Saccharomyces cerevisiae S288C: one gene and its partners. Changing the gene in region 3 together with the main gene of any one other region gives a genetic interaction. Each region holds a gene or a part of one and is shown on either strand. Other genes may lie near its edges.

The links.
Region 1: mutations in BNA1 (region 3) and FRE2 together harm fitness more than expected from each alone (negative genetic interaction), as found in Saccharomyces cerevisiae (one large-scale study listed by BioGRID).
Region 2: mutations in BNA1 (region 3) and ECM23 together harm fitness more than expected from each alone (negative genetic interaction), as found in Saccharomyces cerevisiae (one large-scale study listed by BioGRID).

The regions. Positions count from the first base shown.
Region 1 is NC_001143.9:6,927-13,091, forward strand, and holds FRE2 (ferric/cupric-chelate reductase), read right to left. Parts: upstream 4,301-6,165; coding exon 2,165-4,300; downstream 1-2,164. Other genes in the region: MCH2 (Mch2p), read left to right, coding at 1-602. UniProt on the Saccharomyces cerevisiae protein: Metalloreductase responsible for reducing extracellular iron and copper prior to import. Catalyzes the reductive uptake of Fe(3+)-salts and Fe(3+) bound to catecholate or hydroxamate siderophores.
Region 2 is NC_001148.4:509,259-513,828, reverse strand, and holds ECM23 (Ecm23p), read right to left. Parts: upstream 2,729-4,570; coding exon 2,165-2,728; downstream 1-2,164. Other genes in the region: SUMO protease ULP1, read left to right, coding at 1-1,516; ssDNA endodeoxyribonuclease RAD1, read right to left, coding at 3,830-4,570. UniProt on the Saccharomyces cerevisiae protein: Involved in morphogenesis. May be involved in cell wall organization and biogenesis.
Region 3 is NC_001142.9:468,895-474,888, forward strand, and holds BNA1 (3-hydroxyanthranilate 3,4-dioxygenase), read right to left. Parts: upstream 2,778-5,994; coding exon 2,244-2,777; downstream 1-2,243. Other genes in the region: REC107 (Rec107p), read right to left, coding at 1-289, 370-685; U4/U6-U5 snRNP complex subunit LSM8, read left to right, coding at 890-1,219; methylthioribulose 1-phosphate dehydratase MDE1, read right to left, coding at 1,336-2,070; YJR026W (gag protein), read left to right, coding at 3,866-5,188.

The DNA of each region.
Region 1 (6,165 bases), on a different chromosome or scaffold from region 3:
TTACCGTTAGTTTAGGTTATACTAGTAAGCAAGGCTCATACGTATCGTGCATGGTGAGTGTCGGCTCTCTGCTGGGACGACCAATTGTGGGTCACATTGCTGATAAATATGGATCACTAACAGTTGGCATGATATTGCACCTTGTCATGGCCATCCTTTGTTGGGCCATGTGGATACCTTGTAAAAATTTGGCCACTGCGATAGCTTTTGGATTATTGGTTGGTTCTATTATGGGAACAATTTGGCCAACAATTGCTTCAATTGTTACACGCATTGTTGGTCTTCAAAAGCTTCCTGGTACCTTTGGTAGTACCTGGATTTTTATGGCGGCTTTTGCCTTAGTTGCCCCCATAATCGGTCTGGAACTTCGTTCAACTGATACGAATGGAAACGATTATTATCGTACAGCAATATTCGTGGGTTTTGCGTACTTTGGTGTTAGTTTATGCCAATGGCTATTGAGAGGGTTTATAATAGCTCGAGATGAGATTGCTGTGCGTGAAGCCTATTCAGCTGACCAAAATGAATTGCATTTAAACGTTAAGTTATCACATATGAGTAAATGTCTTTTTCGTTATAAACAATTACCTAGGAGAGTCTAAAGGTCACTTTTATTTCACACTGTAGATAAGAAGGGGATAGAGTTGCCAGAAAATTTTTTGCTTTATCAGCTTTTTAGATTTGTCTTCTCGTTTTATAAATAATGATAATTTAGTACAATAATAGATAATAAAAACATTTTTTTTTGCAAATTGAAAGCTTAACTGGTTTTTTAAAAGAAAATATTAGTGACCTTCTACCGACTAAAATCTTCCACTAAATCCCCAGTAGAAACATAAGATAAGGTTGAAACTTTTTTAGGGCGATTATATTTTTAGTCCTATACATGTTTGATGGCATACTTTTTAAGGAAGATTTATGAAGCTATGTTCCACATAGGTTTATGTGCTATTGATATATACTATAAATAAAACGCTCTACCCAAGAAATGAAACATTTTTTAAACTTTTGTCATCAGCACAAAAATATGCGGATTTACGCGTTTGTCATTCCTATAAACCTTAACCTTAACGCGAAACCATATTTCGCTACCTAATGTTGGTTCGGTGCATTTTGAGAAAAGGAACTAGGTTCAGATATCATGCATCGAATCTATTATCTTCCAACCGAACTTTTACAAACGTTTAGACCGAGCGTTATTGACTGAATTAAGAGCAAGTTTTTACACGTGTGACTCTGGCACATTAGAGCTGTTTGAGAATCTAAAGTCTTGCTGTCTAAGGACCAAAAATAATGTATTTCGAGGTCATAGCTAAGAATCTCATTGTTCTTCAGCACTTGCTAATCACATATCTATTTCTAAGTACAAGATGATAGTTAACAACTAATAATGAATAAACCAGGTAAAAAAAAAAAAAGAAAAAGCTGTAAAAGACGACAACGTTGGCGTCGCGAAAATATTAATAGAACCATATGTTGGATAATGTAGCCTCTATTATACACTTATCCCGATTACATTGTTTTAGCGACGGTAATCATCTTTTTATCCGGCACTCTGAATCAAACTCTATCTTTAAGTATCCTATATGCATGAGTTATGTCGATTATATCGAAGACTCGGTGTGTGATATTACTCCACAGTACAAAAACAGGAATACAGAGAAAATTGAAAAGATATATGAACGGATGGTATGGTAAATAAAATAACAGCCATTATAAAGCTTGTGGTAAATTTTCCAGGACGGAAGTTAGCTTATGCAGTTTTGTTTATCTTCCTTGCATCTGTGTATAATACTGAAACACGCAATTAACGTTTCATAAAATTTGCCTGAGGGCCGTATAAAAATTCAGTGACCATTGTTCACACTTTAAATATAGCCAAATTGCCAAGAAAGGGTTTCATTGCAGGTTTATCGAAATATTAACTCTTTAAATACAGGGACTATACAGAGCTAACTTCTTAAGAAAAAAAACCATGCGACACACTACGACTTTCACAAATTCCATAAAAGAGATATTTAAGATTTAGATAAAATATCAAAGGACTGCTGTACTCTGCTTCAATTACCTCCTTACCATAAAGTTATAGGCAGCTTTCTCCATCGACATACTAAAATTTGGATAGGTATTATTAATGAAATGACTAGTTTTAAGTAAAAAATGATCACCAGCATTGATACTCTTCAAAGTACTCAATGGCTTTTGCAGACTTATCTAAAACTATTTTTGCGGTTTCATTCCTCACTTTGTCAACAAAAATAGGAGGTCCACAGCAAACCACAGATAATGAGCCACTCAATTCAGCCGCTTCATGTAGAAGTTCCTTAACATTTGGTCGCCCGCAATGGAAAACAACACCATCAAAACCAAGTGGATTGGCAGACTTTTCTAAAGTAGTTGCCACAACAGTGCCTTTTTCATCAGCCTTCTCATCCTGTTGAGAAATATCTAAACTATCACTAGGGGTTAATGATGGGACTTCCATTGTGTTGTAGATGTGAAGCTGTACATTCAGATTTTCTAAACACATCAACTCCGGCTTATAAGCCTCGAGTACGTCGAATCCTCTAACTGCAATCACTAATTTTACAGATTGTTTTCCAGCAGCCGCTGACGTCTTTCCAAGTTTAATTGCATGTGCAATAGGTCCAGGCAAACCGGTACCTCCAGTGAGTAACAATACATTATTGTAATTATTGACCGGAGATGAAGAACCATATGGACCTTCTATAGCTAGTCTCATAGATGTCTTACCTCCATTGCGACACACATACTTTTTGACAAGTCTTGTTACTCCCTTTTTTTCTTTCAGGATAATAACCAGTTCACCATTCTTGCTTACTGAATCCAAAACAGTAAATGGATGTGACTGCCAGAAGTACAGTGGATGTAAAAACGAAACGAAAACATATTGCCCAGGTTTGGCCCTCCATGGCCTTGCCGGTTTTTTAACTGTTAAACGAATGAGATCATCCCCGATTAGTTGTAGGGAAGCTTTGGGGAAACCAAAATAAGAAGCTTTGATAATTCTAATAATCCGGTCAACGATCCAAATCGCAATAGCAGTGTATATCCACTCAATGCCACTTAAACTAACAACATGCTCCCAACATGCATAAAAGAACATTGCACCAAGGACGATATGAAGAAAAAGAAAGGCTTCATAAAAATACTTCCTGAATACTGCAAAGGAAAAGAAAACCATTGTGCCAGCTAAACAAAGTGCTGCCACCCCGAATTGCCAATATAATCGGTTTTTACTTGTTGCCCAAGTTTTATTCGCTACCGTATAACTAGTATATGCAGAGCCATGAATCATAGCATCCAAAAACATCATTCTTCCCAACCATTTGTGAAACATAATGAAGGAAGTATATTTAACCCCAGAAATATACTCGAGAAAGTTGTTTCTTCCCGCGAAAAGAACTATTAATGGAAAGTGTGCGAATGCGAGTACACCACTTCTGTCTGCCACATATCGAGCAACTTGAACTCTACGAGACTTGAATATTATATTTTCAGGATCGTATTCATAACCGTATGCCAAAAAAACGGTATGAAGCACGAGATATCCAAGAATAATGATACCCTCTAATCTTGTAGGTAAATATCCTGTGAATATTCTAAAATAAGAGAAATCTGACGCATGTTTGCTTCCAATGGTAGGTAGAGTGAGGTATCCCCTTACATATCCCACAAGCTTTTGCTTCAATAGAACAGTTTTAAAGGGAGTGTAATTCATGCAATGAAGAACGCCTGCAAAAGCCATGATAGCGACAAAATAAGCACATATAATGCCACCATATATGTTTCCGACATCTAAGTTAGCATAGAAACCATGCAATGCATGATAGTAGGCTTTTCTTAACTGTGTATCCATTTCAACTGGATATGTTAGGTTTGCACTGCCTTTGACATAGGGCGTCATATGCCTCGTTCCGTTGTTTAGAACGTCATAAAACTCAGAATTAGTCATGTTCTGAAGAGCATCACTATAACTTGCACAGTTTTTTTTGATGGTACTAAATGTTTTTTCTAAGGTTTTATTCGAATAACCTTTTTCATCCAACGTTTCATAGATACAATACAGCATTGATTGAAACGCTGGTTCGTAAGAACATACTGGTGATGAACGCTTAGACTTGCTGGTATACTCCCAAGTAACTTTTTGAAAAATCCTCGTGCAGGCATTAGTGACAAGCAAGGGCACCTTGTTACGAATAACTGTCTTTGCAGGTGATGCTCTTGCTCCTGACAGGCAGAAAAGCAAAATAGCGCTCAAGATGGACGTCCAATGCATTATATTCGTTGGGTTTCATAAGCTTTGGATAAAAAAGACTTTATTACAACTGTAGCAAAAAATCATGTTCATTTTTTGCGACTTATATATTTAGTGGCAAATTAATGATACCTTGCAATAACCGAATTTAGAGTATGTTGTCCAAGAAAGGAGGGATTTTGTTCATCAGAAAAGAATTCAGAAAAGCAAGGAAACAGTACTATCGTTTAGAATGTAGAATGATAGGTTGCTTGCTAATTCTATTATGGCACGAATGATACACCCATATTTTCAACAAAATCAATACCCACTAGCATCATTGAGCCAACTATTTGTCAATGCAACCATTACCGGTACTTCATCCTGATTTAACGAGTCTACTTTTTTATCACGTCAAAATTTACTTGTTTTCCTGTAAACCCGAAATAAAGGCAAAAAAGACCTGGGTGCAATTACGAATAAATGTACAATAATCATCCTGTTTGCATAGTAAACTTCCAGTTAGAGTCACACAACGCAATGAATTTTGACAGTTTTCTGTGCGATATTCTTTGGTAAACGTAAAGAACAGGCAACTTTTGGTACAATGGATTCTAGCCCATATGGTTCATTTCTGGTGCATTCGCAAAGTCAGTATTTGTCTAGCTGTGTTTTCTGGCTGAGAGACATTATGATGTTATTCATTGTTATGGATATCTCTGTAGCTCATGCTGCTTATTTCTCCCTAAAAAAGTTTTTTCTCTCGAATACATTCTTGACCATTTCATAGTGAAATTCTTGTACTTATTTAAAACCAAAAATGGAAGTATTCATACATCCCCCTATCAAAAACACTCAATAAGTTTCGAATTATTCGTTCGTCTAAACAGTGTCCAATACTCAAAGGGGTATTCAAGACGGCACAAAATCAGCATCTTCCCTTATCCGTGTTCCAGAAATACCACGCTAAGGTTTTTCCTCCTACAATCCATAAAATCATTAAGGAGGCAGCTTGAAAAATCTTGAAATTCAAAAGAGTTATCTTGGGCTAATCGAAATTAACGATAACCAGAGTAGAATATTCAAGATCACAGCTCCACCTTAGTTTCGAGGTTGCTCTCAATGGTCTAGCTTAGTCATGCTTTTTGTTAAACAAATCTTGCCTTTTCTGATATTCTATAGTGTGGTCCAATCCAGATATTGGCGCATCCTAAACCAATTATAGTTCACTTATGAAGGGCAAATGAACACTCTTACCAGTTTCACAAATAATTAGTACTAGCTAGGCGGTCAAACTGACTAGCTTATTATAATATTATCGATGTAACATTTTTCCATAGTGAGGGAGGAAAATAAACCTTAAAAAAATATGCAAGGATTCTAGATTTCAGGCTAGTCTTCAACCACTTTGCACTTCCGGATTAAAGGCTTTTATAGAAAACATCTTGGTTTGGGACTATATTGCTAGGTGAAAATTTCAAAATTGTACAAAAGATCATTCTTGTTTTTTTGCCTCATTAGCTGATACAATGCGGAACTACATGGCGCTCTTTTATAAGCATCTACTATGGTACATTCTAAGTATGTGGATCTTGGTTAACACATAGACATTTTTTAACTTCTTGATATCGGTTCCGCTAAATTTGCTGATTATATTTGTTCACTAGGCCAGATCATAATGCCTGTAATATTGAGTACTTAATATCGATACTTGATATCCGAACAGTAAACGTTTGTCCGTAGTCATCGTGACTGTTGACGTATTAACTGCAAGAAATGATGGAAAAAATTTAGGTATATTTGCAGATGAAAACTCTAGAACACTGCCGTTGAAGAAAGAATGGCTTCAGCCGTCATGCTGTCTATCTGTTTGTAAACTTTTGGAAGTTTTACATATTTTGCACTAT
Region 2 (4,570 bases), on a different chromosome or scaffold from region 3:
TGGTTCTGAAGTAGAAGCAAGTGGTAACAGCGACGTTGAGAGCAGAAGTTCTGGAAGTAGGAGCAGTGACGTACCATATGGTCTACGTGAAAATTATTCCTCGGATACAAGAAAACACAAATTCGATACGTCGACGTGGGCCTTACCAAATAAAAGGAGAAGAATCGAAAGTGAAGGTGTGGGGACACCTTCAACCTCACCAATCAGCTCTTTGGCTTCTCAAAAAAGCAATTGTGATAGTGACAATAGCATAACTTTTTCGAGAGATCCTTTTGGTTGGAATAAGTGGAAAACAAGTGCTATTGGTTCTAACTCAGAAAATAACACTTCTGATCAGAAAAATAGCTACGACAGGCGACAGTATGGGACAGCCTTTATTAGAAAGAAAAAAGTTGCAAAACAGAACATTAACAATACTAAACTGGTGTCGAGAGCACAATCTGAGGAAGTAACATATTTACGACAAATATTCAACGGAGAATATAAAGTTCCAAAAATATTAAAAGAAGAAAGAGAAAGACAGTTAAAATTAATGGATATGGATAAGGAAAAAGACACTGGCTTAAAAAAGTCTATAATCGACTTAACTGAAAAGATCAAAACAATTTTAATTGAGAACAACAAGAACAGACTACAGACAAGAAATGAAAATGATGATGATTTAGTATTTGTTAAAGAAAAAAAGATATCTTCTTTGGAAAGGAAACATAAGGATTACTTAAATCAAAAGTTGAAGTTTGATAGATCTATATTAGAGTTTGAGAAAGACTTCAAAAGATATAACGAAATTTTAAATGAAAGAAAGAAGATTCAAGAAGATCTTAAAAAAAAGAAAGAACAATTGGCCAAGAAGAAACTTGTTCCTGAATTAAATGAAAAAGACGATGACCAAGTACAAAAAGCTTTGGCATCTAGAGAAAATACTCAGTTAATGAATAGAGATAATATAGAGATAACAGTACGTGATTTTAAGACCTTGGCACCACGAAGATGGCTAAATGACACTATCATTGAGTTTTTTATGAAATACATTGAAAAATCTACCCCTAATACAGTGGCGTTTAATTCATTTTTCTATACCAATTTATCAGAAAGGGGTTATCAAGGCGTCCGGAGGTGGATGAAGAGAAAGAAGACACAAATTGATAAACTTGATAAAATCTTTACACCAATAAATTTGAACCAATCCCACTGGGCGTTGGGCATAATTGATTTAAAAAAGAAAACTATAGGTTACGTAGATTCATTATCGAATGGTCCAAATGCTATGAGTTTCGCTATACTGACTGACTTGCAAAAATATGTTATGGAGGAAAGTAAGCATACAATAGGAGAAGACTTTGATTTGATTCATTTAGATTGTCCGCAGCAACCAAATGGCTACGACTGTGGAATATATGTTTGTATGAATACTCTCTATGGAAGTGCAGATGCGCCATTGGATTTTGATTATAAAGATGCGATTAGGATGAGAAGATTTATTGCCCATTTGATTTTAACCGACGCTTTAAAATAGTTATTCTTTTATAATATACAATTATTATACATAAGTAGAAATATTCAGATCATTGGATATGGAATAAAGTTCAATAAACCACTTGAAAATAAATCATAAGAATAGCATAAGCACCAGCTCAATTTAGATGTCTGTACAAAAAGTAATATATTTTAGAGATGAGCAGGCAGAACCACACATTAGTGACGATTGTCTTCGACCTTATGTGGAATCTTAAGCTTTAACATATAAGTAAAAATTTTTATTTTCAACAAAAGATTAGAACGAAATGAAATTCCTTAATTGAACCTTCTCTTGGATATCAATCTATTGGCAATCATTCCTAGAGAATATATTATTGAGTGAAAACTGTAGATACGTGCTAAGCGGTAAAGCCCTTATGAACATCGTCACACTATCTCTATATTGAGCCTCCGTAAATTTCGAATCATTTGAAATTCATTTTTCCTGGTAGGAAGATACTTGATAGTGGAGGATAAGTAAAGTAAATTGTGGTTATCATTTATTTGGTGGTAAAGTACCTTTTTTATGTTTTTTTTGAAGATGGAAATTCAGGCATTTTAAAAAAATAGAAAGCTCGAAATATCTCAAAAAACATAAAAATAGAGGAAGAATCCGCTGAATATACCATCTTTACAAACTACTTAACTATTTATTTTTAAATATAAAATTTTTAGTACCATCATCGGAGGATTGTTGCGATCGTATTTTTTTCTCCATTTTTTTCCTATATGCTATGCCACATCGACTACATAGCTCAACATTTCCATTAGGTCCACTTCTCCACTGAGAAGTCCAGGTGTCACCACAAGTGGCGCACTCTTTTGGTTGACCGTTGGGGAGTATAGTTTGTTTCTTCCTACTTTTAGGTCTATATCCTGCTAAAGATTTCTTTCCATTGGATGATATTGGTAGTGATGAAAAAGATGGGGCTGGTAGAATAGAGGGGTTATGCAAAGGCCCACCAAGACGACTTTCTTCCTTCAATTTTGGACTCAGCGCACTATTTAAGCTTTTGATCTTCTGTTCAAGAATATCTGCTCTTTTTAAATCTGGCGTGACACCAGATTTCGGGATACTGGCTACTGAACAGCAATAATTGGGATTAGCGGCAATGAACAGAACCATTTGTACAAAACGATCGAAGTGGAATTTCGTTCTACGACCAGAGCTACTAGCGCCGCTTGTTCCCTGCTCTTTGTTATATAACATAATATGATTTAAAAGTTCTATCACTCAGCACTACAACGCAGTATTTTTATTCTAGATGACCAGTATAGCAAATATTGTTACCCTTGAGATATTGGTAATTTAACCAAATCTCAAGTCATAAATGCCTCCCTTTTAAGTTTACATAGGCAGTGGACAGATTGGTACATCATATTAAAGGAAATAATGAACGCTAAAAAGAATGCCTTTTACTGACACATTCACTTTTAATACGAAAACGGATTTTGTGGTATATGACGTTGAGCACTGCGTGGTTTTCTGTGAATCCGCCGTGCCTAAAATGGACCCTTAATTATTTAACAATAGACCGGCCCGAATAATGTTAACATGAAGGGAAAAGTGCACATAACTGCAAACTACTTTGGTAGGTTGATTATCAGAGCTAAGCCATCCTACAGGTAATGATTTCCAAATTTTTTCTTAAGTAAAAAAGTTCAGAAAATAGAAGAAATATAAAATTTAAAAGGAATTACTGTTTACGAGACACATCGTTCATTCTTGGATAAATATACAAATCTACTTAAGAAAAAGCTTTCCTTATTTGTTGTTTCCTACTTTGTACCATTTGGTTTATTATATATCGTTGTGGAAAAGAAACTTGGTCTCTTGAATCTTAGTCGCAAAAGAAAATTTTTACCCACATAGGTAATGGAAAAGAGACAAAATTATTTCTGGACCTTATTCAAGAGGATGAATTTGAAGCATTTATTAATAATGAATATGATTGTGCGCTTCTAAGAAAAACTCACGGGTAATTTGGCTTAAAATGATTCACTAATGCCACGCTCAGATTCCACCAAATACGGTTAAAAAATCAAAAATAAATGAACTTCATTTGGTCATTTTTACTGCTAAAAAGTGGAAGATGAATTGCGGATGATATGAAAAATTTGAGTGAATAAACTATGAACGCGAAAAAAAGAATATATATGCGGAATAAAATATCAAAGTAAAAGATTCAAAGAGCATGTCTAACTTATAACATATACGGTCGAAGTCACCAAATGAATATTGTTATTTTCACTATAGTTAATCGCATTTTATACTGATGTTTTAACAGGGTTCGTTAAATTAAACAATATTTTACACAGGTGCTTCAGGAACATCATTATGATGATCATGTAAAGCGTTATCATCAGTGGTCTTACCAGGAGATTCAAGATTTTCATCTGTTGACTCTTGTTCTTGTTCTTCTTTTTCTGTTCTCAAGAAGTAGTATATTCTATCCGTCAAATCTTCGTCATTAATAAGTTCATTAATCTCATTCCATGAAAGCTTTTGAAGCTTATTGAAGCTCTTGATCTTTTTGCGGAGATTGAAATAATCAATTTTTGACACTCCAGGAACATTCAACAGTCTCTTGAATTTAGACTCGTTATCACCATCCTTCAGGCCCTTTGCAGTGCTATTAAAATCCGATCTAACTTTATTCGTTCCCAATATAACTGCATTACTAGGGTCAGGTTGCTCACGTCCTAATTTCAACTCTAGGATTATATTTACAGTTTGCAGGGGTGAGGAAGACCATATAATCTTTAAAGTGGGAAACCGCAATACTAATTTGGCTAGTTTTAGCTGAATTTCATCCTGGGATAACTTGCTTGATATAGGATGAACAGTTGATATGTCTTTATTCTTATAATTTCTACGTTCACTAAAAGGTTCTAAAGAAAACGACTGTCCTTCATCAAACTCAATCAATAGTGTCGGATATGCATAGTATTTTAACATTTTTTTACATTGGTTGGCTAATCTGTTATTCTGTAATGACCCAATTAAGTCAGAAATCGATTTTCTTTCGAGACAAATATCAGGAGTTATCAC
Region 3 (5,994 bases):
TCTTTGGATAGAGACAGGAGCACTTTATGCACGTCCTCCAGTTGGCTGCCGACGTTGAAGAGCATCTCCTGGGTGCACCTCATCGACTTTTCCGTCTCATGCTGCTTGTTAGTTACGTGTCGCGTTATCTTGGAATTATACCTGCTTATTTCTTCGACTAATACCTGCCTGTAGCTGGAATCCGACTTTGTCTTCTTCTCGTCGCCTTTCGATAACATTGCTGTTGACACTTTGTCCAGTTGGTTTTCAATCTGGGAAGCCAAATCCTTTATTAAGGTTTTCACGTTTCCTATACTACAGTTGTTAGTAAATGTGTTTTGGAAGAAAATGAATAAAAAACTTGAGGGTATGCACTGTGTTGGTACGAACCGTTCGTAGCAGCATCTTGTTCCAGTAGCTGGTTAAACTTGTTTAGCGATTTACATAATGTCTTAGAATTTTCATTTAAAACTTTAATTAGCTTGTCAGAGTTTTCCCTCAGCTCCATACTCTCCAATTCCAGTTTACCTGCCCATTCCAGTATCTGCTTGTCCGATTCCTCTAAAGCGCCTGCATTCGCTACTTTCCCACTGTGGGAGAATATAGATCTGAACGGTGATGATGTTTCTGTAATCATCAACGAGTGTTCAGAATTAGCCTCTGAAACATCTGTAGATATCTCGTCTGTTCTACCTCTAGCGACCATTTTACTAAATGTTTCTACACGTCTGCAGTATCCTTGTTTTGCTTGTTTTCCTTCTTTCTGTTCTTGTTGATTTTCCCTTTAAGTCCTGAAAATACTATCATGGCGTAAAGGGAAAAAAAAAAACTAATCTTACGTGGTTCTTATAAGATGGACCAGCAAGCTGCATACAGTACACCATACAAGAAGAACACACTATCGTGCACCATGTCAGCCACCTTGAAAGACTACTTAAATAAAAGAGTTGTTATAATCAAAGTTGACGGCGAATGCCTCATAGCAAGCCTAAACGGCTTCGACAAAAATACTAATCTATTCATAACCAATGTTTTCAACCGCATAAGCAAGGAATTCATCTGCAAGGCACAGTTACTTCGAGGCAGCGAGATTGCTCTTGTTGGCCTCATAGATGCAGAAAATGATGACAGTCTAGCTCCTATAGACGAAAAGAAGGTCCCAATGCTAAAGGACACCAAGAATAAAATCGAAAATGAGCATGTAATATGGGAAAAAGTGTACGAATCAAAGACAAAATAATATAGTTGCAATAATAGTAATAATAATAATAATAATAATAATAATAATAATAATAATAATAATAATACCATGTATAGAAGTATATAAATCATACAATAAATTTAAGCATTAACCCGTCACGGACTGGCCATCTTCAGATGCTTCTTCTCTTCGCCAATGCCACAGTCGGGAGGAATCCCCATTTGGTACATCTTTATGGCCAGCTCCATCAAATAATCGATGGCTTCGTTGAAAATTTTGGCCTTATCGATTGTCGGACCCCAAACAAAAATGCCATGTCTCCTCACAATTACGGCGCATGTGTCTGGATAATCTTTAAAAGTCTTGTGCAAGTCATCGATCAACTCGTCCTCATGCGCCATGTTTTCAATGATGGGAATCTTCAGCGTATCAAAAAACGATAGCGCCATGGGTTTCTTGGTCACAGGGTCCACCTTTCCGCTTGGAATTGCTTTGATTTGTTCGATGTTAGCAATCCTGAACTCATCGCCAAATAGCAAGGAGCATATCACAGCATTTTGGGAGTGTGTATGTATTATAGCACCTGCATTTTTCTTTTGGTAGCACGCTAAGAACAATGGAGTACATGCGCTTGGCTTGTAAAGCTTGGGAGAGCGCAAATACTCTAATGTCTGAGCGTCCATGACAAACAAATCCTCAGGTATCATCTTCTCCTTCTGCACCCCAGATGGGGCGAGATAATAATAATTCGTGTTAGGATCTTTTATTGAAATCCCACCTCCAGTTCCGGTGCACCAATTATTATGAAAAAACTGCTTGCATAGCGTGCAAATGAGATTTGCTGGATGGCACGGATCATCTGAATGTATCAGAACATCTTGTGAAGACATAGTCGTTCACTGGCTCCCCTTGTTAGTTCAGTGCTTAAAAACGTTACATATCTTGATGAACAGCTAGCTGCTTTGATCAAGAGAAAAAAAAAAAAAATTGGCACCGCATCTTAGTGCCGCAATCTTACGTAACAAGAGAGCTATAAAAGTACAACTAACAACTCTTCTAATACTTAATTAGATTGAGGGCGTGCGTAGTTTAACGTCTTGCAATGGAAACATGTCCTCTTTTCGACATCATTTTCAAAATCTAAAATGGCTTCTTTCACTTGGGTACCTAAGTCTAACATTTGCAGTTCACTCTCGTGGACCACTTGGCGACAATGAGAACAGTACCACCTTATCTTATCGTTTTCTCCCCCAGGCCTATCTTGTTCCACAACAATACCCACAGTATCAGCAAACCGAACAGGACTGTGAGGAACATTTCCTGGCAATAAATATGAATCGCCTTCATTGATGATGATATCAATGAACTTTGGTTCAGCGTCTGTCTCATCCACAACCTTTAAAAGCATAGATCCTTTTTTTTGATAGAACCATTCGGGAGTTGGATTGATGTGATAACCGGTTCTTTCATTAGGCCCACCGACAATCATCACAGTGAATCCCCCTTTATGTAAGCAATAATTATTCACCGGTGGTTTCAAAAGGCCTTCGTTCTCCTTCAACCATTTGTCGATATTAATTGGTGTAGTATTAAACATTTTTTTCGATTTTTTTGGTAAATGTATGCTATTTCAGTTACTTGTAGACTGTCGTGAAAAGAATAAAGAAAGAATCTTTTACGTCCGTTTTTTTACTTTGCCGAATATGTTTCAGTGACTCACAATTTATCCTGACGCCGTCACAAAGGCAGCCATTCCATTGCAATAACGACACTCTGAATATTCACGAACGTTCACCAGACATTTGGAGGCAGCGTTCTAAATGCCGATACCCGTTCAGGAGTACAGGTGTCAGTGACAGAAAAATAATGGCACCGTTGACGTCGAAAATACATCCGCGCAAATTTTGACAGGCTATTTTGGCAGCGCAATCAAAGAATAAACTTGGTATAGTAAGGAAGCCAGTTACTGTACGCATGAATTACGGTAGCTTTTTTTATTTTATTTATTTTTTTTTTTTTTGGACAAATAGAAAAATTTTTATTATTATGTAAGATTATTGAAGTAAAAATACAATTGGACGAATCTAGTTAGATTGCCAAGATGTGTTAAAAGGCAAGATTAACTTATGAACATGATCTACAACGTCCTGGTTTTTAAATTCGAGTAAATACGCCTCCTTTTTATCTGTGAATGACAGTCCTGTTCTCCCAAGTCTTTTTACATCATGGAGACGGGAGTTATACTCTCTCGGGTACAAGGTTCCTTCAGCATCAGAACAGATCACAAACTTTATCGCAACAACAATTCCTTTATATTCCTGGGAAAATATGTCGGTATAGCCTACTCGAGACGGCTTCCAAACATCAGCTTTCGTTTTAACATGTTGCTGTTGGAATAAAAATCCACTATCGTCTATCAACTAATAGTTATATTATCAATATATTATCATATACGGTGTTAAGATGATGACATAAGTTATGAGAAGCTGTCATCGAAGTTAGAGGAAGCTGAAACGCAAGGATTGATAATGTAATAGGATCAATGAATATAAACATATAAAACGGAATGAGGAATAATCGTAATATTAGTATGTAGAAATATAGATTCCATTTTGAGGATTCCTATATCCTCGAGGAGAACTTCTAGTATATTCTGTATACCTAATATTATAGCCTTTATCAACAATGGAATCCCAACAATTATCTCAACATTCACATATTTCTCATGGTAGCGCCTGTGCTTCGGTTACTTCTAAGGAAGTCCACACAAATCAAGATCCGTTAGACGTTTCAGCTTCCAAAACAGAAGAATGTGAGAAGGCTTCCACTAAGGCTAACTCTCAACAGACAACAACACCTGCTTCATCAGCTGTTCCAGAGAACCCCCATCATGCCTCTCCTCAACCTGCTTCAGTACCACCTCCACAGAATGGGCCGTACCCACAGCAGTGCATGATGACCCAAAACCAAGCCAATCCATCTGGTTGGTCATTTTACGGACACCCATCTATGATTCCGTATACACCTTATCAAATGTCGCCTATGTACTTTCCACCTGGGCCACAATCACAGTTTCCGCAGTATCCATCATCAGTTGGAACGCCTCTGAGCACTCCATCACCTGAGTCAGGTAATACATTTACTGATTCATCCTCAGCGGACTCTGATATGACATCCACTAAAAAATATGTCAGACCACCACCAATGTTAACCTCACCTAATGACTTTCCAAATTGGGTTAAAACATACATCAAATTTTTACAAAACTCGAATCTCGGTGGTATTATTCCGACAGTAAACGGAAAACCCGTACGTCAGATCACTGATGATGAACTCACCTTCTTGTATAACACTTTTCAAATATTTGCTCCCTCTCAATTCCTACCTACCTGGGTCAAAGACATCCTATCCGTTGATTATACGGATATCATGAAAATTCTTTCCAAAAGTATTGAAAAAATGCAATCTGATACCCAAGAGGCAAACGACATTGTGACCCTGGCAAATTTGCAATATAATGGCAGTACACCTGCAGATGCATTTGAAACAAAAGTCACAAACATTATCGACAGACTGAACAATAATGGCATTCATATCAATAACAAGGTCGCATGCCAATTAATTATGAGAGGTCTATCTGGCGAATATAAATTTTTACGCTACACACGTCATCGACATCTAAATATGACAGTCGCTGAACTGTTCTTAGATATCCATGCTATTTATGAAGAACAACAGGGATCGAGAAACAGCAAACCTAATTACAGGAGAAATCTGAGTGATGAGAAGAATGATTCTCGCAGCTATACGAATACAACCAAACCCAAAGTTATAGCTCGGAATCCTCAAAAAACAAATAATTCGAAATCGAAAACAGCCAGGGCTCACAATGTATCCACATCTAATAACTCTCCCAGCACGGACAACGATTCCATCAGTAAATCAACTACTGAACCGATTCAATTGAACAATAAGCACGACCTTCACCTTAGGCCAGGAACTTACTGAATCTACGGTAAATCACACTAATCATTCTGATGATGAACTCCCTGGACACCTCCTTCTCGATTCAGGAGCATCACGAACCCTTATAAGATCTGCTCATCACATACACTCAGCATCATCTAATCCTGACATAAACGTAGTTGATGCTCAAAAAAGAAATATACCAATTAACGCTATTGGTGACCTACAATTTCACTTCCAGGACAACACCAAAACATCAATAAAGGTATTGCACACTCCTAACATAGCCTATGACTTACTCAGTTTGAATGAATTGGCTGCAGTAGATATCACAGCATGCTTTACCAAAAACGTCTTAGAACGATCTGACGGCACTGTACTTGCACCTATCGTACAATATGGAGACTTTTACTGGGTATCTAAAAGGTACTTGCTTCCATCAAATATCTCCGTACCCACCATCAATAATGTCCATACAAGTGAAAGTACACGCAAATATCCTTATCCTTTCATTCATCGAATGCTTGCGCATGCCAATGCACAGACAATTCGATACTCACTTAAAAATAACACCATCACGTATTTTAACGAATCAGATGTCGACTGGTCTAGTGCTATTGACTATCAATGTCCTGATTGTTTAATCGGCAAAAGCACCAAACACAGACATATCAAAGGTTCACGACTAAAATACCAAAATTCATACGAACCCTTTCAATACCTACATACTGACATATTTGGTCCAGTTCACAACCTACCAAAAAGTGCACCATCCTATTTCATCTCATTTACTGATGAGACAACAAAATTCCGTTGGGTTTATCCATTACACGACCGTCGCGAGGACT